Linked DNA regions of Oryctolagus cuniculus. The protein of the gene in region 3 interacts with the protein of the main gene of each other region in a pairwise test. Links are inferred from orthologs where the notes say so. Each region holds a gene or a part of one and is shown on either strand. Other genes may lie near its edges. The genes, in order: POP5, TRIM54 and CCDC102B.

The links.
Region 1: the proteins of CCDC102B (region 3) and POP5 interact in binary tests that used the Homo sapiens proteins (3 or more experiments, as listed by UniProt). The two-hybrid records come from large-scale screens. The link is inferred for Oryctolagus cuniculus from reciprocal best matches to the Homo sapiens genes CCDC102B and POP5.
Region 2: the proteins of CCDC102B (region 3) and TRIM54 interact in binary tests that used the Homo sapiens proteins (3 or more experiments, as listed by UniProt). The two-hybrid records come from large-scale screens. The link is inferred for Oryctolagus cuniculus from reciprocal best matches to the Homo sapiens genes CCDC102B and TRIM54.

The regions. Positions count from the first base shown.
Region 1 is NC_091452.1:16,598,230-16,605,102, reverse strand, and holds POP5 (ribonuclease P/MRP protein subunit POP5), read left to right. Parts: upstream 1-2,198; 5' UTR 2,199-2,326; coding exon 2,327-2,346; intron 2,347-2,432; coding exon 2,433-2,575; intron 2,576-4,114; coding exon 4,115-4,264; intron 4,265-4,413; coding exon 4,414-4,497; intron 4,498-4,598; coding exon 4,599-4,717; 3' UTR 4,718-4,939; downstream 4,940-6,873. UniProt on the Homo sapiens protein: Component of ribonuclease P, a protein complex that generates mature tRNA molecules by cleaving their 5'-ends. Also a component of the MRP ribonuclease complex, which cleaves pre-rRNA sequences.
Region 2 is NC_091433.1:175,680,005-175,686,777, forward strand, and holds part of TRIM54 (tripartite motif-containing protein 54), read right to left. Parts: intron 2,674-6,773; coding exon 2,501-2,673; intron 1,977-2,500; coding exon 1,805-1,976; intron 1-1,804. UniProt on the Homo sapiens protein: May bind and stabilize microtubules during myotubes formation.
Region 3 is NC_091441.1:9,986,677-9,993,449, reverse strand, and holds part of CCDC102B (coiled-coil domain-containing protein 102B), read left to right. Parts: intron 1-5,268; coding exon 5,269-5,871; intron 5,872-6,773. UniProt on the Homo sapiens protein: During interphase, forms fibers at the proximal ends of centrioles to maintain centrosome cohesion. During mitosis, dissociates from the centrosome following phosphorylation to allow centrosome separation. Contributes to CROCC/rootletin filament formation.

The DNA.
Region 1 (6,873 bases), on a different chromosome or scaffold from region 3:
CCTGGAAGTAATTTATACAGCCATCAACAGGATACTGATGGCCGGCGTTGTGCCCTCGTGGGTACAGCACCAGATCCAACACTGTGAGGCCGGCATCCCTTGTGGGCGCCGGTTCGAGTCCCAGCTGCTCCACTTCCCTTCCAGCTCCCTGCTAATGCCCCTGGGAAAGCAGTGGAAGACGGTCCAAGTGCTTGGACCCCTGCACCGACTTGGGAGATCAGGAAGCAGCTCCTGGCTCCTGGCTTCAGACAAGCCTGGCTCCAGCCATTGCAGCCATTTGGGGAGTGAACCAGCAGATGAAGACCTCTCTCTCTCTCTCAAGCTCTGCCTTCCAAATAAATTAATTAATTTTACAAAAAAAGGCTATTCCTCCGCCTGCGGCACCAGCACACCAGGTTCTAGTCCCGGTCGGGGCGCCGAATTCTGTCCCGGTTGCCCCTCTTCCAGGCCAGCTCTCTGCTGTGGCCAGGGAGTGCAGTGGAGGATGGCCCTAGTCCTTGGGCCCTGCACCCCATGGGAGACCAGGAGGAAGCACCTGGCTCCTGGCTTCGGATCAGCGCAGCGCGCCGGCCGGAGTAGCCACTTGGGGAGTGAACCAACGGAAAGAAGACTTTTCTGTCTCTCTCACTATCTTACTCTGCTTGTCAAAAAAAAAAAAAAAAAAAAAAAAAGAATCTTTTAATTACTGAGTTAAAGAAATCAGACACAAAAGAAAACATGCTGTAGATTTATTGGAAGTTCACCCACAGGCAAAACTAACTGGTCCTGGTGGAAGTCGGAACAGTGGCTGTTTCTGGTAAGAGTTCTGACTGGGACTCGGGGAAACGTCTCAGGTTCTGGAAATGCTTTCTCCACCGGAATGTGGGTGACAGGTACACGAGTCTCTAGGAATTCGCTGAGAGGTGCTATACTTCCAATTTTTTTTTTTTTTTTAAGATTCATGGGGAAAACAATTTCTCAGCCTTGCTCCATCCTCAGCGAGGAATAGATTTTTATTTAAAGATTTATTTTATTTATTTGAAAGACAGAGTTACAGAGAGAGGTAGAGACAGATAGAGGTCTTCCATCCAATGGTTCACTCCTCAGATGACCACAACAGCTGGAGCTCCGCCGATCCGAAGCCAGGAGCTTCTTCCAGGTCTCCCATGTGGGTGCAGGGGCCCAAGCACTTGGGTCATCTTCCACTGCTTTCCCAGGCCATAGCAGAGAGCTGGATCGGAAGTGGAGCAGCCAGGACATGAACCAGCACCAATATGGGATGCCAGTGCTTCAGCCCAGGGCTTTAACCCACTGCACCACAGCCGGCGCCAACAAGAGAGAAATTTAAAAATATTCAAGTGAAAAGGAAAAAGTGCTTGACAGTATGACCCACGATGCTTACAAAGAAAATAAAAGGAAAAACACCACTTCACATGGGCACAATTCTCAAAAGCCGCTCTCTGCCTCACGACCTCTTTACACTCTTAAATTACTGAGGATTCCGAAGCGCGTCTGTTTTTGCGCTGATAACTATCAATGTCTACCTCAGAGATTAAAACTAAAAACTGTTTAAAACACAATAGACGATTTCATCAGCCCTCAGAGCGGCGATGCCAGATACCATGTGGCTTCTGGAAAACTCTACGGTCTACTCTGAGAGGGTGAAGAAGGCAAACTGACATCTTACTACACTTATTAATATTATTATAATTAATAATCCCGAGTCTCCCTGAATGAGTGGGAATTCCGTGGGAGAACTGCGGGCACAGGGGGAAACCACGGAAGAAACTACGTGATAAGCGGCTCTCTCAGTCCTGCGGTTACAGCGGAAAATACAATGACAACAGTTTTTGCAAACAAACAAAAAAAGGTGACAAAGCACCCATCTCCACAAAACTGTTGAAAGGCCCAAAGAGTAACAGCATATTTGAGTGGAAGAATTAAACCGCGCTCTAACCTGAAGTGTCCGATTTGCTGTGTGTCAGTCCCTGTGCTTCAGCCTGGAGTATAAATGCGTGTGTGACCGCGCCCTCAGGCGCCGGGCGCCCCCGACGCCGGCCGCCTCCTACACTGTGAACCGCGAGGGACCGCCCATCGCAGCCCCGAGTCCAGCCCCCAAACCACAACCTCCCGGGACGGCAAAAGGACGCATGCGCTCTTACAAAGGCCGTCGGAGGCGGAGCTTGAGGGAGACTGACACGGAGCTTGGCCTCTCAATTTTCTAGCACCGCCCTCCTCTCCTGGCTCCCTCTCGGAGTGGCTGCAAGGTGGCGAAGGCAAACTTCCCATTGGCCGCAGGACACCGACATCCGGTGAGCCCTTCGGGAAGGCGGGCCCCGCGGCAGCCATGGTGCGGTTCAAGCACAGGTAAGCGGCTCCTTGCGCACCCTCAGAGCCACCCCCGGTCTCCCCGGCCCCGGCTCGCGCGCTCACCCCCATGTGGCCTGCGGCAGGTACCTGCTCTGCGAACTGGTGTCCGACGACCCCCGCTGCCGCCTGACTCTGGAGGACCGAGTACTGGTCGGCCTGATTCGGGACACGATCGCCCGGGTGCACGGGACCTTCGGCGCGGCCGCCTGCTCCATCGGTTTCGCAGGTGCGAGGGCGCGGGGGCAACCCGGACGGACGGCGGGATTTGGAAGGAGCAGGCGCTGGAGGAGGGAGGAAGAAGTGGCACGAGCGAGCCCTGGAGAGGCCAAGCCCGGGCGCACCCTTCGGTCGTGGGAGGTCCACACGAGTCCGAAATTAGGCAGAGCTAAAGCAGGGGCCCGCAGGCAGTGGGACTTCGGGCAAAACCCTGTGTGGCGTCTGCATATTGGGGCTTGTTAGTGAACTTAACATAGTTAAATGAGTAAAGTCGTATATAGTTCCTAGGCAGAGCCATTATTTGACCGATTACATTGACATCACATGGGAAAAAGCAGGTCGTAATTACCTCAGAAAAGCCCTTAATAGTAACGTACAGCCCACGATTGGGTACAAGTTCCGTGCAGGATAGACAGGCACCAAAAAAGGCTGTTCGCCCTCCGGACTACTCCAGCATTTAGTTCCTTTTACCGTGAACTCATAGGGTCCTGGAGAATCAAGTGCACGGAGGTGACCTCTTGCCATCAGGTGAGACCCGCTGGCGGCCACAGGAGCCTGCAGAGCCCAACGGCAGTAAAACAGCCCGTTTATTAGACGAGGGCTTTTTTTTATATATACATATTATATATGTGTGTATTATATATAATATATATTATAAATATATATATTTGACAGAGTTATAGACAAGTGAGAGAGACAGAGCAAGGTCTTCCTTCCGTTGGTTCACCCCCAAATGGCTGCCACGGCCGGCGCTGCACCCATCCGAAGCCAGGAGCCAGGTGCTTCCTCCTGGTCTCCCATGCGGGTGCAGGGCCCAAGGACTTGGGCCATCCTCCACTGGACTCCCGGGCCACAGCAGAGAGCTGGCCTGGAAGAGGGGCAACCGGGACTAGAACTGGCACCCATATGGGATGCTGGCGCCACAGGCAGAGGATTAACCAAGTGAGCCACAGTGCCGGCCCCCAGACGAGGGCTTTTGTTTTTAAAAATGTATTTATTTGAAAGTCAGAGAGGGAGACCTCTTCCATCCCTTGGTTCACTCCCCAAATGGCAGCAATGAAACTAGAGCTTCTTCGACATGGGTGCAGGGGCCCAAGCACTTGGGCCATCTTCCTCTGCTTTCCCAGGTGCATTAACAGGGAGCTGGATTGGAGGTGAAGCAGCCAGGTCTTGAACCAGTGTCCATACGGGATGCTGGTGTCCCAGGCTTCACCTGCCACACTGCAAGGTTGGCCCCGACAAGGGTTTTTTTTCATGCTGAAACATCATCTCCCCCTCCTCCCAGTAAAGTCACTGAATAGAACAGCATTTTAGATTCTCGATTCATTTACCAATTCTAAGTGATGTGCAAGGCCTTGGTGGTTATCCTCATTCCATAAATGAAGGTCTCGTCTGAAGTTTTTCTTTAGGAGTCTGTTTTTCCTCAGTGATGCATCCCAAGTGCCATTTGTCTAGAACAGTCCCTGGCACAAAGCAGGCTCCGTTACCCTAAGGCTTCTAACCACCTGTGAATCCGAAGTTTTCCAAAATGATCTCTCCCCTGCTGTAGTTCGATACCTCAATGCTTATACCGGAATAGTGCTGCTTCGATGCCGAAAGGAATTCTACCGGCTGGTGTGGTCAGCGCTTCCCTTCATCACGTATTTGGAGAGCAAAGGACACCGTTACCCTTGTTTTTTCAACACGTTACACGTGGGAGGTAGGCATGCATGTAGTGCATTTGCTGAATCTTAAGTGACAGACTCAGCATTTACCTTGACTGCTCGCGTGCTGAGAGAGAATTCCTCCTAGCTCTGTCTGTAAAGCAGACATTCACAAGCTGTTGACTCCATGTCTTTCATGTGCCAGGTACAATCAGAACATGTCAGAAGTTCCTGATTCAGTACAACAGGCGACAGCTGTTGATCTTGTTACAGAACTGCACTGATGAAGGTAAGCAACAGTAGCCCAGTGCCCACTGAGCAGTGACCAGCGGGCTGCCCTCGTGCAGAGAGATTGCTCGAAGACATTTATTCTGCTCTGCCTCTTTCCAGGAGAGCGGGAAGCTATCCAGAAGTCAGTGGCGAAGAGCTGTTTACTAGAGGAGTCATCTGAAGAGGAAGGGGCTTCCGACAGCGGAGGTGAGGAAGCTGCTGAAGCAATGGCGTCGTGAACTGCTCAGACTGGGTGGCAGCCAGCCAGGGCTCGATTTTCCAGCGTGAACTGGAGGCCACACTCACCTGAAACCCTGGAGTTGCTTTTACAGAGTGTTTCTGGTTAAGTGGTTCTGCGGGTTGTAAAGGCTCTACACTTGTGGATAGTCTTGTATCTAATTACTTGTCTAATTTGGTTTCTATAGCATTGAGCATAATAACAAAAGGGCTTATACACTTCATGCTTGGCCAAGTCTCCTCTTGCATTTACCCTGGCTTTGGTGGGAAGACTGCTCCTATGTGACACTACATTAAAATATTTTTAAAAGATATGAAAGGCAAAGAAAGATCTCCCATCCACTGACTCCCCAAATGGCTTCAACAGCCAGAGCGAGCCAGGCCAAAACCAGAAGCCAGGAGCTGCATCCCAGTCTTCTGCATGGGTGACAGGGGCCCGAGTACTTGGGGTATCCCCCACTGCACACTAGTGCAGGGAACACATTAGTAGGGAGCCAGAACTGAAGTGGAACAGCTGGGACTTGAAATGGCACACCCCAACACCAGATGAATTTTGAATATTTAGCTTTCCACGTGTAGCCCTAGATAAAAGAGCTCATTTGGAATAGAAATGTGAAGAGACATAGCAACCAGCTTGTACAGATCCATAGTCTCAGTAATGATCCAAATACCTTAGAAATATCAAATTCCTTGCTAGCACCTAAGCAGCTGACTCTGAAAAAAAAAAAAAAAAAAAAAAAAATTGCAGCTTTTGCACTTTTGTGGCATAGGCTGGCCTCACCTGACTTCACTGCCAGGCTGGGAATTTTCTGTAGTTCCACCCATTCTTATTTCCTTACACCTGAAGACAGGTAACTGCCACACTCACAGGCATCAGACCAAAGGACTTTTAACCAGCTCTGTCCTGCTACCTCATGACATTTCTTGGCTGTTTTCTCCATAATAAAATGATGTCATTCAAAGGTCCCTCAGTCACAAAGTTGGGTTTTTTAAGGTTTATTCATTTTACTTGAAAGTCACAGTTACAGAGAAGGAGAGGCAGAGAAAGAGAGAGGTCTTCCATCCAATGGTTCACTCCCCAATTGGCCACAACAGCCGGAGCTGCGCTGATCCAAAGCCAGGAGCTTCTTCCAGGTCTCCCACGGGGATACCGGGGTCCAAGGACTTGGTCCATCTTCTTCTGTTTTCCCAGGCCATAGCAGAGAGCTGGATCGGAAGTGGAACAGCTGGGTCTTGAACCAGCACCCATATGGGATGCTGGCGCTGCAAGTAGAGGCTTTACCCACTACTCCACAGCGCTGGCCCCATAAAGCTGTTTTGCTTCACTGTGTCCTCTAATTTCAGGACCAGAACACAACCTCCCTCAAGAGTCCTTGACCTGAGATTTCCTTTAAAAATGACAGGCTAGCAGCTTCTGGGGAGCTGAGCACAGGAGTCTTCACATCCTTTCTCACAGGCCTTCCCCATCCAGCTCCTGGATCCTCTGTCATACGCCCATGAACAGTCACTGACTGAAGAATTATCAGTAACCAGAGTTGCACCTGTACCTTTGAAGTGAGGAACAAGAACCTCAGATATGCTGCAGTGACCCTAATCTTTCAGGCTTAAAAAAAAGGGGGGCGGGTGTTTGGTGTGGCAGCTAAGGTGTTGCTTAGGGTGTATCACACAGAGAACTTGGGTTTGACTGCAAGCTCCACTGCTGATTCCAGCTTCCTGCTAAGGTACACACCCTAGAGCAGGACTGGCTCAAACAGCTGGATCCCTGCCACCCAAACAGGAGACCCACACTGGGTTCCTGCCTCCTGCCTGGCCCAGCCCTGGCTGTTGCAGGCATCTGTGAAGTGAACCAGCAGATGGAAGACGGTCTCTCTCTCTTAAATAAATAAATCTATCTAATCTATCTTTATAAATAAATAAATCTTTATCTTCTCATATTCTTTTTTTTTTTGGACAGAGTGGACAGTGAGAGACAGAAAGGTCTTCCTTTGCTGTTGGTTCACCCTCCAATGGCCACCGCGGCTGGTGCGCTGCGGCCGGCGCACCACACTGATCCAATGGCAGGAGCCAGGTGCTTATCCTGGTCTCCCATGCGGGTGCAGGGCCCAAGCACTTGGGCCATCCTTCCCTGGCCAGAGCAGAGAGCTGGCCTGGAAGAGGG
Region 2 (6,773 bases), on a different chromosome or scaffold from region 3:
AGGAGCCAGGAGCCAGGTGCTTTTCCTGGTCTCCCATGGGGTGCAGGACCCAAGCACTTGGGCCATCCTCCACTGCACTCCCGGGCCACAGCAGAGAGCTGGCCTGGAAGAGGGGCAACCGGGACAGAATCCGGCGCCCCGACCGGGACTAGAACCCGGTGTGCCGGCGCCGCAAGGCGGAGGATTAGCCTAGTGAGCCGCGGCGCCGGCCATATATTTCTTTTTTAAAAAATATTTTTTATGTATTTACTTGAGAGGTAGAGTTACAGACAAAGAGAGGGAGAGACAGAGAGAGAGGTCTTCCATCTGCTGGTCACTCCCCAGGTGGCTGCAACAGCTGCAGCTGAGCTGATCTGCAGCCAGGAATCTGGAGCATTTTCCCAGGTCTCCCATGTGGGTGCAGGGGCCCAAGGACCTGGGCCATCTTCCACTGCTTTCCCAGGCCACAGCAGAGAGCTGGATCAGAAGAGGAGCAGCCGGGAGTCCAACCAGTGCCCATATGAGATGCTGGTGCTGCAGGTGGAGGTTCAGCCCACTACGCCACAGTATTGGCCCCATGTTTCTATTTCTAAAAGCTTTATTTGATTCTTTGTCAAAAATGCATGATCAGAAGCCAGTGTTGTGGCATGGCAGGTAAAGCTGCCACCTGTGACGCTGGCACCCCACATAGGTGCTGGTTCAAGTCCCGGCTGCTCCACTTCCAATCCAGCTCTCTGCTGTGGCCTGGGAAAGCAATAGAAGATGGCCCAAGTCCTTGGGCCCCTGCACCCTGGTGGGAAGATCTGGAAGAAGCTCCTGGCTTCAGATCAAGCAACTCCAGCTATTGCAGCCTGCTGGGGGAGTGAAGCAGTGGATGGAAGACCTTTCTCTCTCTCTGCCTCTCCTTCTCTCTCTGTGTAGCTGACTTATAAATAAATCTTTAAAAAAATAAAGAAAGAAAGAAAGAAAGAAAGAAAGAAAAAAAGATGGCCCAGGTGCTTGGGCCCCTTCCTCCATGTCGGAGGCTCCTGGCTTTAGCCTGGCCCAGTAGGGTCTGTTGTAGCCATCTGGGGAGTGAATCAGTGGATGGAGGATATCTCTTTATGCTTTTTTAAAAGACTTATTTATTTGAAAGGCAGAGTTACGGGGTGGGAGGGGGGAAGAGAGAAATCTTCCATTTGCTGGTTCACTCCCCAAATCGCTGCAACAGCTGGAACTGAGCCAGGCCAAAGCCCGGAGCCAGAAGCTTCATCCGGGTCTCTCATGTGGGTGCAGGGGCCCAAGCACTTGGGCTGTATTCAGCTGCTTTTCCAGGCACATTATCAGGGAGCTGGATCCGAAGTGGAGCAGCCAGGACTCAAATTGGTGCCCATATGGGATGCTGACATTGTAGGTAGTGGCTTAACCTGCTGCACCACAATGTTGATCCTGATCTTGACTTAAAACCAAGCGATGGGGCAGATTTTTGGCACAGCAAAGATGCCGCATGGGATGCCCACATCCCATATTGGAGTGCCTGGGTTCCATTTCCATCTCTGCTTCCAATTCCAGCTTCCTGCTGGTGCATTCCTGGGAGGCAGCAGGTGACAAACCAAGTATTTGGGTCCCCGCCACCCACGTGAGAGATCTCAATTGAATTCTGGGCTCCTGACTTCAGCCTGGCCCAACCCTGGCCATTGCAGGCATTTGGAGAGTGAACCAGAAGATGGGTGATCCATGTTTGTTTCTTGGCTTTGGCAATGAAACTAAAATAAATAAAACCAAGCGGAATAAGAGGCCGACCCAGTCCTGGTCCCCAACCCTCTACTCCCTCCCTGCTGGATACCTTTTGGCGTTTGTAAATGGTGGGCAGCGGGGCCACCTCGCAGTCCTTGTGGGCCCCGAAGACCTTGCAGAGGGAGCAGGTGGGCACCTCGCAGCTCAGGCAGTAGATGTTGATCTTCTCGTCCTCATGCTCTTCGCACATGAGGTGCTGCTCGGCCTTGGAGTGCAGTGGCCTGGAGAGGAGCGCACAGGGGCGAGGTGGCGGGGTCAGGGGCCAGGCCCCAGGGAGCACCCAAGCAGGTTGGGTGGCAGGGAGGGCCAGGTGCCAGCCCCTGAGGAGCGCCCGTGCGTGTGGGGCCCCTCAACACCTTCTCTTCAGCTCCACCAATCACCAGCACCTTCCCTGCCCCTGCCGTGGGTGCTGCTGGGTGGGTGAGTGACTTCCATGGGGCTCTTAATTTGGAGAACAGAAGGACTTAAGAGGTGGAGGAGGCGTGGATCCGAAAAGAGACTGCATTTCGGGGGCCCTGGGAGCCCCACGGGACAGCAGATATGAGAGGGGAGAGGGGAAACCTGGGCCTGGGTGGGGCAGGGAGGCCTGGCCTCTCTGGGTGGCCGGGGGCAAGCCCCTGCCTCCTCTGGGCCCATCCTTGCATCCCCAAACCGAAGGAGCAGATCGCCTGATTCCACAGCCCCCCCCCCCCCACGGAGCCCCCAGGCCGTGCCCCAGGCGGCACACGCGGCCCTGACGGCTCACCGCGAGGACTCCTGCTTGTAGATGTCGATGATGTTTTCCACGAGCAGGTTCCTCTGCAGGCCATAGACCCCGTGTCTGTCCAGGACAACCTCGTGCCTGCAAGATGGGCAGCGGAAGCGGCCTCCTGAAGACACGGTGCTGGAGCCCCGGGATTGCCACAGAGGGTTGGAGGCCTGTAGGGATGGGTGTTGTGAGAAGGCGGGCACGGCGAGGTGTGCGAGGACTGAGGGAAGCAGGGGTGAAGGTGGTGAGGGCGCAGGAGGAGGAGGAGAATGAGGCAGGGCGGGGCAGCTCCGGCAGGCGGGTGGCCATGGAGTTCCTGGGCCCCGCCTCGTCACCCAGCCTGGCTCTGTAAGTGTTCAACTCCATAGCCTAGCTCTTGTCAGGGCCCAGCCACGATGGGGTCTCTACCGAGGGGTCCAGTTTGGAGCGATGGGGAGATGTTGGCCTCTACAGGAAAAGCTGGGGTAGGAAAGGGGCTCGGAGCCAGACCGTAGCTGAGAGCTGGATCGGAAGTGGAGCAGCTGGGATTCAAACTGTCGTCCATTTGTGATGCCAGCACTGCAGGCGGCGGCTTTACCCACTACGCCGCAGTGGCATCCCCTGCCCTAGCGGTCATTACACTACACGGTCAGATACAATACAGCTTGGGCTAACTGAAGGTGATGTCCAGCGCTAACACGTGTCTCTGAGTCTTAGGCAGAGGCAAAGGTTTTCAAATGAAAACAAACTGCATTTCATGTTAAACACAGAGTGAGAGAAACACAGATGGAGAGAGAGCGCCCATCTACGGGCTCACGCCGCGAATGCCCCCAACAGCCAGGAGTGGGCCAGGCCAGAGCCAGGAGCCCAGAACTCCATGAAGGTCCCCCACGTGGATGACAGAGACCCTCGCACTCGAGCCGTGCTCTGCTGCCTCTCAGAGTGCACTCCAGCATGGAGTGGGATCGGAAGTGGGGTCAGGCACCTGCCCATATGTGGACGTCCCAGGTGGCGACTTAACCACTGTGCCAAATGCTTGCCCTGGGATGACTGAGCATCAACACCCTTCACAGAGGGAAAAGGCTACAGCCTAAAAATCGGTGATGCAACTCTAGATGGACGTTACTGAAGCAAAGATAAAGAAAAGGCAACCCAGGTGTCAAGGCCAGGTGTCCCACAGAGCGCCAAAGGGCTCCTTCCCACCAGAACGGCCTGCTCGTCTGTGACGGAAACAAATCCTGGTACCTGAGCAGTCAACCAGCGGATGGAAGAGCTCTGTCTCTCTCTCTGTCTTTCTTCCTCTTATTTTTTTAAGATTGATTTATTTATTTGAAAGTCAGAGCTACACAGAGAGAGGAGAGGCAGAGAGAGAGAGGTCTTCCATCCACTGGTTCACTCCCTAATTGGTCACAACGGCCGGAGCTGCGCCAATCCAAAGCCAGGAACCAGGAGTTTCTTCTGGGGCCCAAGGACTTGGGCCATCTTCCACTGCTTTCCCAGGCCATAGTAGATAGCTGGATCGGAAGTGGAGCAGCCAGGTTTCAAACCAGCGCCCATATGGGATGCCGGCGCTTCAGGCCAGGGCATTAACCCGCTGCGCCACAGCGCTGGCACACCCTCACTGCCTTTTTTTTCTTTTTTTTTTTTTTTGGACAGGCAGAGTGGACAGTGAGAGAGAGAGACAGAGAGAAAGGTCTTCCTTTACCATTGGTTCACCCTCCAATGGCCGCCGCTGCCGGCGCACCGCGCTGATCTGAAGCCAGGAGCCAGGTGCTTCTCCTGGTCTCCCAAGGGGTGCAGGGCCCAAGCACTTGGGCCATCCTCCACTGCACTCCCGGGCCACAGCAGAGAGCTGGCCTGGAAGAGGGGCAACCTGGACAGAATCCGGCGCCCCGACCGGGACTAGAACCCGGTGTGCCGGCGCCGCAGGCGGAGGATTAGCCTAGTGAGCTGCGGTGCCGGCCTCTCACTGCCTTTCAAATAGATAACAATAAAATAGTAAGACTTTGAAAACAGTTCAATTTCACGTTCTGTGCTTTTTACCGCAACTTTCACAGAGGGAACAGAGGGAACCAGGAGTGGGGGATCCTCAGCCCCTGGGGCTGCCGCTCATTCCCCGCTGCCAGGACCCACAGCCGAGGCAGCACGTGCCTCTCCCCAGCACCCCCCACACTAAAGAAGTTTCCTAAACGCTCCTCGCTCCTCGCAGCGGCTAATCCTGGAAGCCGGGAGGCCGAGACGCCCTCATTCCGCGGGCAGCCCACCCCAAGGCCTGTGCTGCAAGAGCCTTTCTCTGCGGGAGAGGAAGCAGGAAGCCGAGCGCACACAGGTGAGTGCGGGCACGGGGCAGGAGGGCCTGCACCCTGGCCTTCTCTGCGGCCTGGCTCAGCGCGGCACCACGGGCCAGCGTCTCCCATGTGGCCTTCCGGCCCCTGGTCCCGCGGCCCCCCTGGGCCCGGCCTGGCTGCCCCTTCTGAGACAGCTTCAGTTGCCTCCGCCCGACTCCCAGCCCTACTTTTTTGCCAGTCTCTGGCACACACACACACGCACGCACGTGCACACACACACACGTGCACTTTGCTCCCAGGACTACATTTGCCTGGCAACAAAATAGTAAAGCTGATCTCTGGGACTTTCCAGGGCTGCCCGGTGCGTGGTGCGAGACTCACGTCGCCTGGAGCCCTTCACTGTGCTTCCCAAAGCATGGAGCCACCTGCTGTGAGCGATAGGAAGACTGTGGCGGGTGGCAGCAGGGACATCGAGGGTCTGTATGAGTTTATTCTGATGCAGGTTAGGGAAAAACGCCTGTAAGACTGGGGATTTTTTTCCTGGATGTTATTGCTTAGGGTAAGGATAGAGAAGACATTGCTTAAAAAATGCAAATGTTAAATCATTCTCCAGGTATGGGTCTGCAGCTATGGCCAAAGTCAGGAAGGAGAGGTGCGAATGAATCCCTCTCCTGTCACAGTTTGTGGGACTGCTGTCCCCAACCTTTCACTTCAGAAAAGCATCCAGGGGCCGGCGCTGTGGCGCAGTGGGTTATAGTCTGGGCCTGCAGGGCCAGCATCCCATATGGGCTCTGGTTCGAGTCCTGGCTGCTCCACTTCCAATCCAGCTCTCTGCTGTGGCCTGGGAGAGCAGTAGAAGATGGGCCAAGTCCCTGGGCCCCTGCACCCGCGTGGGAGACCTGGAAGGAGCTCCTGGATCCTGGCTTCAGATCGGCGCAGCTCTGGCCGTTGCAGCCAATTGGGGAGTGAATCAGCGGATGGAAGACCTCGCGCTCTCTCTGCCTCTCCTCTCTCTGTGTAACTCTGACTTTCAAATAAATAAATAAATCTTTTTTTTTAAAAAAGCATCTATCCTGGATGTGTGGATAAAGCTGTTTCTCCTTGGTACCATCTCTGTGTGTGTGTGTTTTTAAGATTTATTTATTTGAAAGGCAGAGATACAGAGATAGAGAGGAGAGAGGAGAGAGGAGAGAGAGAGAGAGAGAGAGAGAGAGAGAGAGAGAAAGAGAGAGAGAGAGAGAGAGAGAGAGAGAGAGAAAGAAAGAAAGAAAGAAAGAAAGAAAGAAAGAAAGAAAGAAAGAAAGAAAGAAAGAAAATCTTCCATCTGCTGGTTCATTCCCCAAACGGCTGCAATGGCCTGGGGTGGGCCAGGCCAAAGCCAGGAGCCAGGAACTTCATCCGGGTCTCCCAAGTAGGTGCAGGAGCCCAAGCACTTGGGCCATCCACTGTTGCTTTCCCAGGCGCATTAGCAGGGAGCTGGATCGGAAGTGGGGCAGCCGGGACTTGAACTGTGTCGGATGCTGGCACTGGAAGCGGAGGCTTGACCCACTACGCGGCAGCGCCAGCCCCCACCTCTGTGTGTTAACATTGGGCATTTAACGCAGCCAAAGGAGGGAGGTAGCACTGCTGAGAAGGCCGTGGCCCTGCTCTGTGCGACCTTGGGTAAGTCACTTCTCTTGGAGCCCCCAATTCCTCAGCTATAACCTGTGCTTGTGAACTGGGTCACTGAGCCTTTGTGGAAAGAACTACAACAAGAAGTTCAGATGCGCCCAGCAGCTGCTGCGAGATGTGCACGTGGGGTGGGGAAGGGAGTTGGTGGTTTCTGTCAAATCCTCCCATCTCACACCTGGAGGCTGCCACCACCTGTCTGGCCGTCTAGTGTGTCACCCCGCCTGGGTGCTGCCCGCTGGCTGTGTCTGGAGCGCCCTCTACCGTCCGTCGTAGGCAGTGCCTGAAACCCCATCTCAAGCAGCCTGAGTGTGTGCTGATAGGCAAATTCCTCC
Region 3 (6,773 bases):
TAACCCATGAACATTGAAGATTTTTTTTTCCATTTTTTTGTGTCTTCTGCTTCTTTCTTTAATGTTTTGTAGTTTTCTTCATGGAGGCCCTTGAGTTTTTTGGTTGAATTTATTCCAAGGTATTTAATTCTTTTTGGAGCTATTGTGACTGGGACTGATCTTAAAAGTTCTTTCTCAGTCATGGCATTGTCTGTGTATACAAAGCCTATTGACTTTTGTGGGTTAAGTTTATATCCTGCTACTTTACTGAAGTCTTTTATGAATTACAATAGCTTCTAAGTGTAGTCTTTTGGTTTTCTTACATATAGAATCATGTTATCTGCAAATAGGGATAGTTTGACTTCCTTCTCCCCAATTAGTATCCCTTTAATTTCTTTTTCTTGCCTAATGGCTCTGGCTAAAACTTCCGGGATTATATTGAATAGCAAATGTGAGAATGTGCATCCTTGTCTGGTTTTGGATGTTAATGTGCTGGCTGTGGGTTAGATTTTTATTTTTTTTTTATCACTGTGGAGTATGAATTAGACATTTGATGCTTCTTAAAGAAAATGAAAATCCAAGAAAATTTCATCTAAAATATTTTTCCTAACGGTTAAGGGAAAGCAATAACTATAAAAAATTAAAAATCCCTTTTGGACCCTTTTATTCTGCCTTAATAGTGTATCTTCTGACCAAAATGCTTTTCTTTCTGTTCCATTTCATCCTTCTGATAATGTTTGAACATCATGGGGATAGGCTTACGCTAACAAGTAACTACAAATATTCTGAATCACAATGTACTGTTTCTTTCCACAACTTTAGCTAAATTTTGTGATTATCCATTTGATTTGTTGTTTATAGCTACTAGCAATATCCTAGGATGGCAGAGTGATGTCCCTTTTGCTTACTATCACAGTATGCACAATGGTAGAAACTCTTCTTGGATGAAGGTCTTTGAGTTATACAGGACAGTCAGATGCTAATCAGGATGAGAATTCAGGGGGAGGCATGCTCCTGCTGGATGGACAGATTGCACAAGGGAGAATGTGGCAGAAAAGTAGATGGACACACCCAGGCTGGGGTAAGGCTTGGGCAGGGGAATTGGAATGACAGAGGGGAGTCTGGCAGAATGAATGGGCTCTAGACCTTGCCGTGGTTAAGTTGTGGTGAGGAGTTTGAATGAACACAAGGGTAGTGCCAGATCAACCAACTAATTGTTGTGAGATCAAATATTTAGCATAAAAGTATCCAAAATGGGAATAGAAGGCAATGTATACCATATTGTAGTGCCTAGGTTCAATTCTTACCTCTGTTTCCTAGTTCCAGCTTCTTTGTAATGTATACCCTGGGAAGCAGCAGGTGATGACTCAAGTAATTAGGTCCCTGACACCCACATAAGAGACCTAGATTGAGTTCCTGGCGGCAGCCTGAGGCACAGCCTTGGCGACTGTGGGGCATTTGAAAATATCAGCTGATGGAAGCTCTCTGTCTCTCTCTTGAAAAAATATCATATCTCCAAAATGGAACCAGTCAAACATATTTCTGAAATAATCTGAAAGCTTATCTCACAATCGTAAAAACTAGTATTGTTTTAAAGTTCTAGATTTTTGATATGGGGATGCAGTGGCTATGGATTCAAATTTCCTTAGTTCTCAAATCAACCATATATGCCCAAGGTGGATACATGAGTGCCCTATAGCCTGGTTTCCTCATCACTTGCACGACAGATATGATAATAGTAGTGAATATTCCACTGGCATGTGTTAACTGGCTTGTGTTTTATTGAGGGGCTGGCAGTGTGGCTTAGTGGGTTAAGCTGCTGCTTGCAGTGCCAGCATCCCATATGGGCACCGGTTTGAGTCCTGGCTGCTCCACTTTCGATCCATCGCTCTGCTATAGCCTGGGAAAGCAGTAGATGTCCTATGTCCTTGGGCCCCTGCACCTGCGTGGGAGACCTGGAAGTCACTCCTGGCTTCAGATCAGCACAGCTTCATCCATTGTGGCCATCTGGGGAGTGAACCAAAGGAAGGAAGACCTTTCTGCCTCTGCCTCTCTGTAACTCTGCCTTTCAAATAAAATAAATCTTAAAAAAAATTTTATTGAAATTGATAATTTTCTTTATTACCTGAAATTTTGAGTACTTTTATAAGTCTTATTTTTCTTTACATTTTTCTTACTTTTAAGTACCCTGTTTCTCTTTCAAAAGGCAGAAAAGAAACCGAAAATTACAAAATAGTAATATATTCTGAGATGATGCATTCATGACTCCTGGCACTAAGGAAAACTTTTGCCTTACCTGTGAGAGCCTGGACTAACCAATTAGTAGGCACTTTTCCATTCTCTAGTCAGAAATGTCTCCTTACAAATAAGGATATTATAATTTGTCTGTGACTATCTAAAATCAGAATATAAACCTAAGGCTCACCATCTTAGGCATCAGATTCCTGTCAGGGAAGAGACATTTAGTTATGTCATTTATCTATTCTTGATTCATTACATTTTATTTGTTTGGCTATCTACTATATTAAAAAAATTTGCCATCATAGCAGCCTGATTGCTATTAATATTTTTATAATGTAAAAAGCAGTGCAAAAACCAGAGTCAAGAGTATTAATATATTTTTGTAGACATCAAAGGCTTTGTGCTACAACCACTGGAAAATGCATTTATAGTCACCTGAAATAAAATTCAAAGAGTACACACAGATGTATAGGAAAGTGAGTAGTTTAATAAACACATATGCATCTTAAATATCCCCATCTCAAGAAAATTGTGCTTGCTTGAGGAAACTCTTTAGAACAGGAAATACTATTGAAGTTCAAGGACTGAATAATTAAACCCAAATCATTTTTATTTAGTCAGATGTGGAAAAAATACATAGTTAATTCTTAGGCAAGATCTCAATGTACCAGAATCCAATTATAGAGTCTTCTGAATACTGGTGGAATAAAAGTTAATGAGACATTTTAAATACATTACAATTTTATGATACTGATTTATTTTTGGAAAGTAGCAAGGATAAATTTAAATTTAATATGCTGTATTAAGTTCTCTGTATTCATTTTGGAATTCCAACAGTAAAAAATCATTACATACTGAATAGTGAACAGACTGACAGATGGATGGATAGATAGTATGTGTGTTTGTTATTTCTAGTTAAGATCACCTTTTATTCTTTTATATATCAGTCTTGCCTTAGTAATAAAACAAAGTTGGTAATTTATATTATCATTGTCCTCCAAATTACAGTAAATGGAAGAACAAAATTACTCATGTACCAAGGCTAACGAATATAATCACATCACGAGTCTGTTATTATAAGTGTTACAATAGTGAATTGATTTTACATCTCAAATTTGTTTAAAATGTTTTTTCAAAATAAAAATTTAATATTAACTTTCTGAAGTCTTTTAATTATGTGCTCATGAATCATAGTTTTAAAAACATTGTATAGTCTTTTATTCCAATAAATCAGGCTTATTATTATATACGTAGTTGATACAGTAGAACCATTCAGTTAGTTGTATAAGTAGATAGGTCCTAAGGAGGAAGTTATGATCTGTAATTACAAAAAAGAAAATAAAGTGAGAGGAATTTATGGCATGTGCATAAAATATTATCTAAGCTTTTTTTTAGATTAGAAAACTGTTTCTGGAAATAAAAATGAGTAAACCACAGGAATTTACTAATTTGTAAATTAACCCGTGTCTTTTAAGGAGTTACTTTAAAAGTTATGCTTGTTATGGTCTCAATATAGTTGTAGTGCTCTATTGAATAAAATAACAGGCATGCAAATTGATAATGATATGCATTCATATATTTGTGCTTTGGTATTTATAATGAAAGCTGATTTTAATTTCTCTACAAGGCTTTGAAAAAGCTAAGACTGCTCAGTGTTATCTCTATGGTGAAGGTGCCGCGTTTCTAGATGGCCCATTTCACCTTTAGCAGTACTCCTTAGATCACCCCAACATACCCTAAGATACCCTAAGAATCTGAGAATGACTTTAAATACATAAAGAGATTCAGTAAATATACCTTTTATAGTGTAAACTATGGATTTTTAAACTTGTGTATGCTTTATCTACTAAAGTTTTTGAGGACAAGGATCATGCCTCATTTATAACAACTTATTTTTGCAGTTCATAAGATTTTAACCATGTAGGAAATTAATTTGAGAATCAGATGTGGCTTTGACTATAAGTAACGGAAAACCTAACCATTGTGGCTCTAATAAATATGGATAACCCCTTTCACATGCTTCCACATGGCATAGACACCACGCGAGAGCTAGCTTGTTATGACTGCTTTCATCTTGATGTTCCAACTTAAGATTTATTTATAAGATAAATAAATTAGAATCAGCGTTAGAGAGAGCGAGTCTCCAATCACTGGTTCACTTCCCAAATGGCCACAATGGCCTGAGCTGGGCAGAGCCAAGGCCAGGAGCCAGGAGCTTCTTCAGGGTCTCCCACATGGGTGCAGGAGCCCAAGCACTTGGGCCATCTTTTGCTGCTTTTCCAGTGTGCATTAGCAAGGAGCTGGATCCGAAGCCAGGACTTGAGCCGGCACCCCTAGGGGAGGCTGGCACTGCAGGCAGGGGCTTACATGATACACTGCAGTGCTGGCCCCTTTTCTACCATTTTAAATATTATTAAATAGTTATGACAATCACCTTCTCCCAGAGCCATGTCCTTGTTTAGGCAGGAAAAAGAAATTGAGGAAAGAGGGTTTTTCATTCTAATGTTCTCCCAAGTAAACCTTGCCTTTCTTTAGCCTGATCCAGATCATGCATTTGTTTTGAGATTATCATATAGTTGTTGACATGGAGTCCATCAAGCAAAGTGTAGATTATTCATGATTTAGCCTCTGGGAATGGGATTCTCCTAGATGCCCTTAGAGTTTGCATTCTACCTGAACAAATCTGAGATTAGTTGCAGAGGAAAATGGGACTGTTGTACAGTTAACTGGTAATAAATGCTATAATTTTGTTTTGTAAGAAGAAATGTTACAAAAGATATAACTCGAATAGAATTTGATATTTTCTCAATTGCATCTTTATATAGTTATTTGTTCAGCAAAATTTAATATGAGAGATTGATTTTTTTTGTTAATTTGCTATTAGAGGAATAGATTCTTCTAAATCTTTAGTTACAACAGAAAAAAAAATATGCACAATTGAAAGATGCATTGTTTACATCAGATTTTTTTTTATTTTAATGTATTTCAATGCTCTTACAATTGTAAGGAAAATTCAAACGTGTAATTTTGTCCTCTGTTTTATCCTAGGCCTTAAACATAAACATGAATTTAGAGTCTATTCATCGACTAATTGAGGAAACACAAATCTTTCGGATGCAGCAGTCATCGATTCAATCCCGCTGTGACCCGTCAGCCCCTGCCTCGCCCCCCAGGGACACGTGGACGCCCTGCCCGCCTCTCCAGGGGCTGCAGCCTCAGGCCCCCCACCGTTTCTGCGCGCATCCACTGCACCCCAACGAGTGGGACGTGTGCGCGGAACTGCGCCTGCGGGAGCTGGAGGAAGTCAAGGCCAGGGCTGCCCAGATGGAGAAGACCATGCGCTGGTGGTCAGACTGCACGGCCACCTGGAGAGAGAAATGGAGCAAGGTTCGCGCGGAGCGGAACAGCGCCAGGGAGGAAGGACGGCAGCTCAGAATGAGACTGGAGCTGACGGTGAAGGAGCTGAGCGAGCTGCGGAAGAGACAGGGCGCGGCCCCTCAGAAGCAGCCCCCGGCCGCCCCCGCTCCCCTCGCTCCTCTGGCGTCCCGGGAACACGGAGATGAACCTGAAGTCGCTTCCCAAACGTGTGAGCGTGTGGGGGAGCGCCTGCTGAGAGGACAGCGCCGGACCCGGGAGACCGTGGGCAGTCGGGTGAGAAGGTCCTCCTGGGCCCGGCGCCGGTGGCGTGGTGGGTTAATCCTCCCCTGAAGCGCCGGATTCCCGTGTGAATGCCGGTTCGAGTCCCGGCGGCCCCTCTTCCCATCCAGCTCTCTGCTGTGGCCTGGGATAGCAGTAGATGATGGCCCAAGTCCTTGATCCAGCTCTCTGCAATGGCCTGGGATAGCAGTAGATGATGGCCCAAGTCCTTGATCCAGCTCTCTGCTGTTACCTGGGATAGCAGTAGATGATGGCCCAAGTCCTTGATCGAGCTCTCTGCTATGGCCTGGGATAGCAGTAGATGATGGCCCAAGTCCTTGATCCAGCTCTCTGCTGTGGCCTGGGATAGCAGTAGATGATGGCCCAAGTCCTTGATCCAGCTCTCTGCTGTTACCTGGGATAGCAGTAGATGATGGCCCAAGTCCTTGATCGAGCTCTCTGCAATGGCCTGGGATAGCAGTAGATGATGCCCCAAGTCCTTGATCCAGCTCTCTGCTGTGGCCTGGGATAGCAGTAGATGATGGCCCAAGTCCTTGATCCAGCTCTCTGCAATGGCCTGGGAAAGCAGTGGAGGATGGTCCAAGTCCTTGATCCAGCTCTCTGCAATGGCCTGGGATAGCAGTAGATGATGGCCCAAGTCCTTGGGCCCCTGCACCCGCGTGGGAGACCCGGAAGAAGCACCTGGCTCCTGGCTTCCCATCGGCACAGGTCCCAACATTGCGGCCATTTGGGGGTGAACTAGCGTACAGAAGACCTCTCTCTCCCTCTCACTGCCTGTAACTCTGCCTCTCAAATAAATACAATCTTTAAAAAAAAAAGTTGCTCTGAGGAACCAGGGGATACCTGCATTTTTGAAGGCCTTCCATAGTGATGAGAAAGGGGAGGTGACGAGGCAT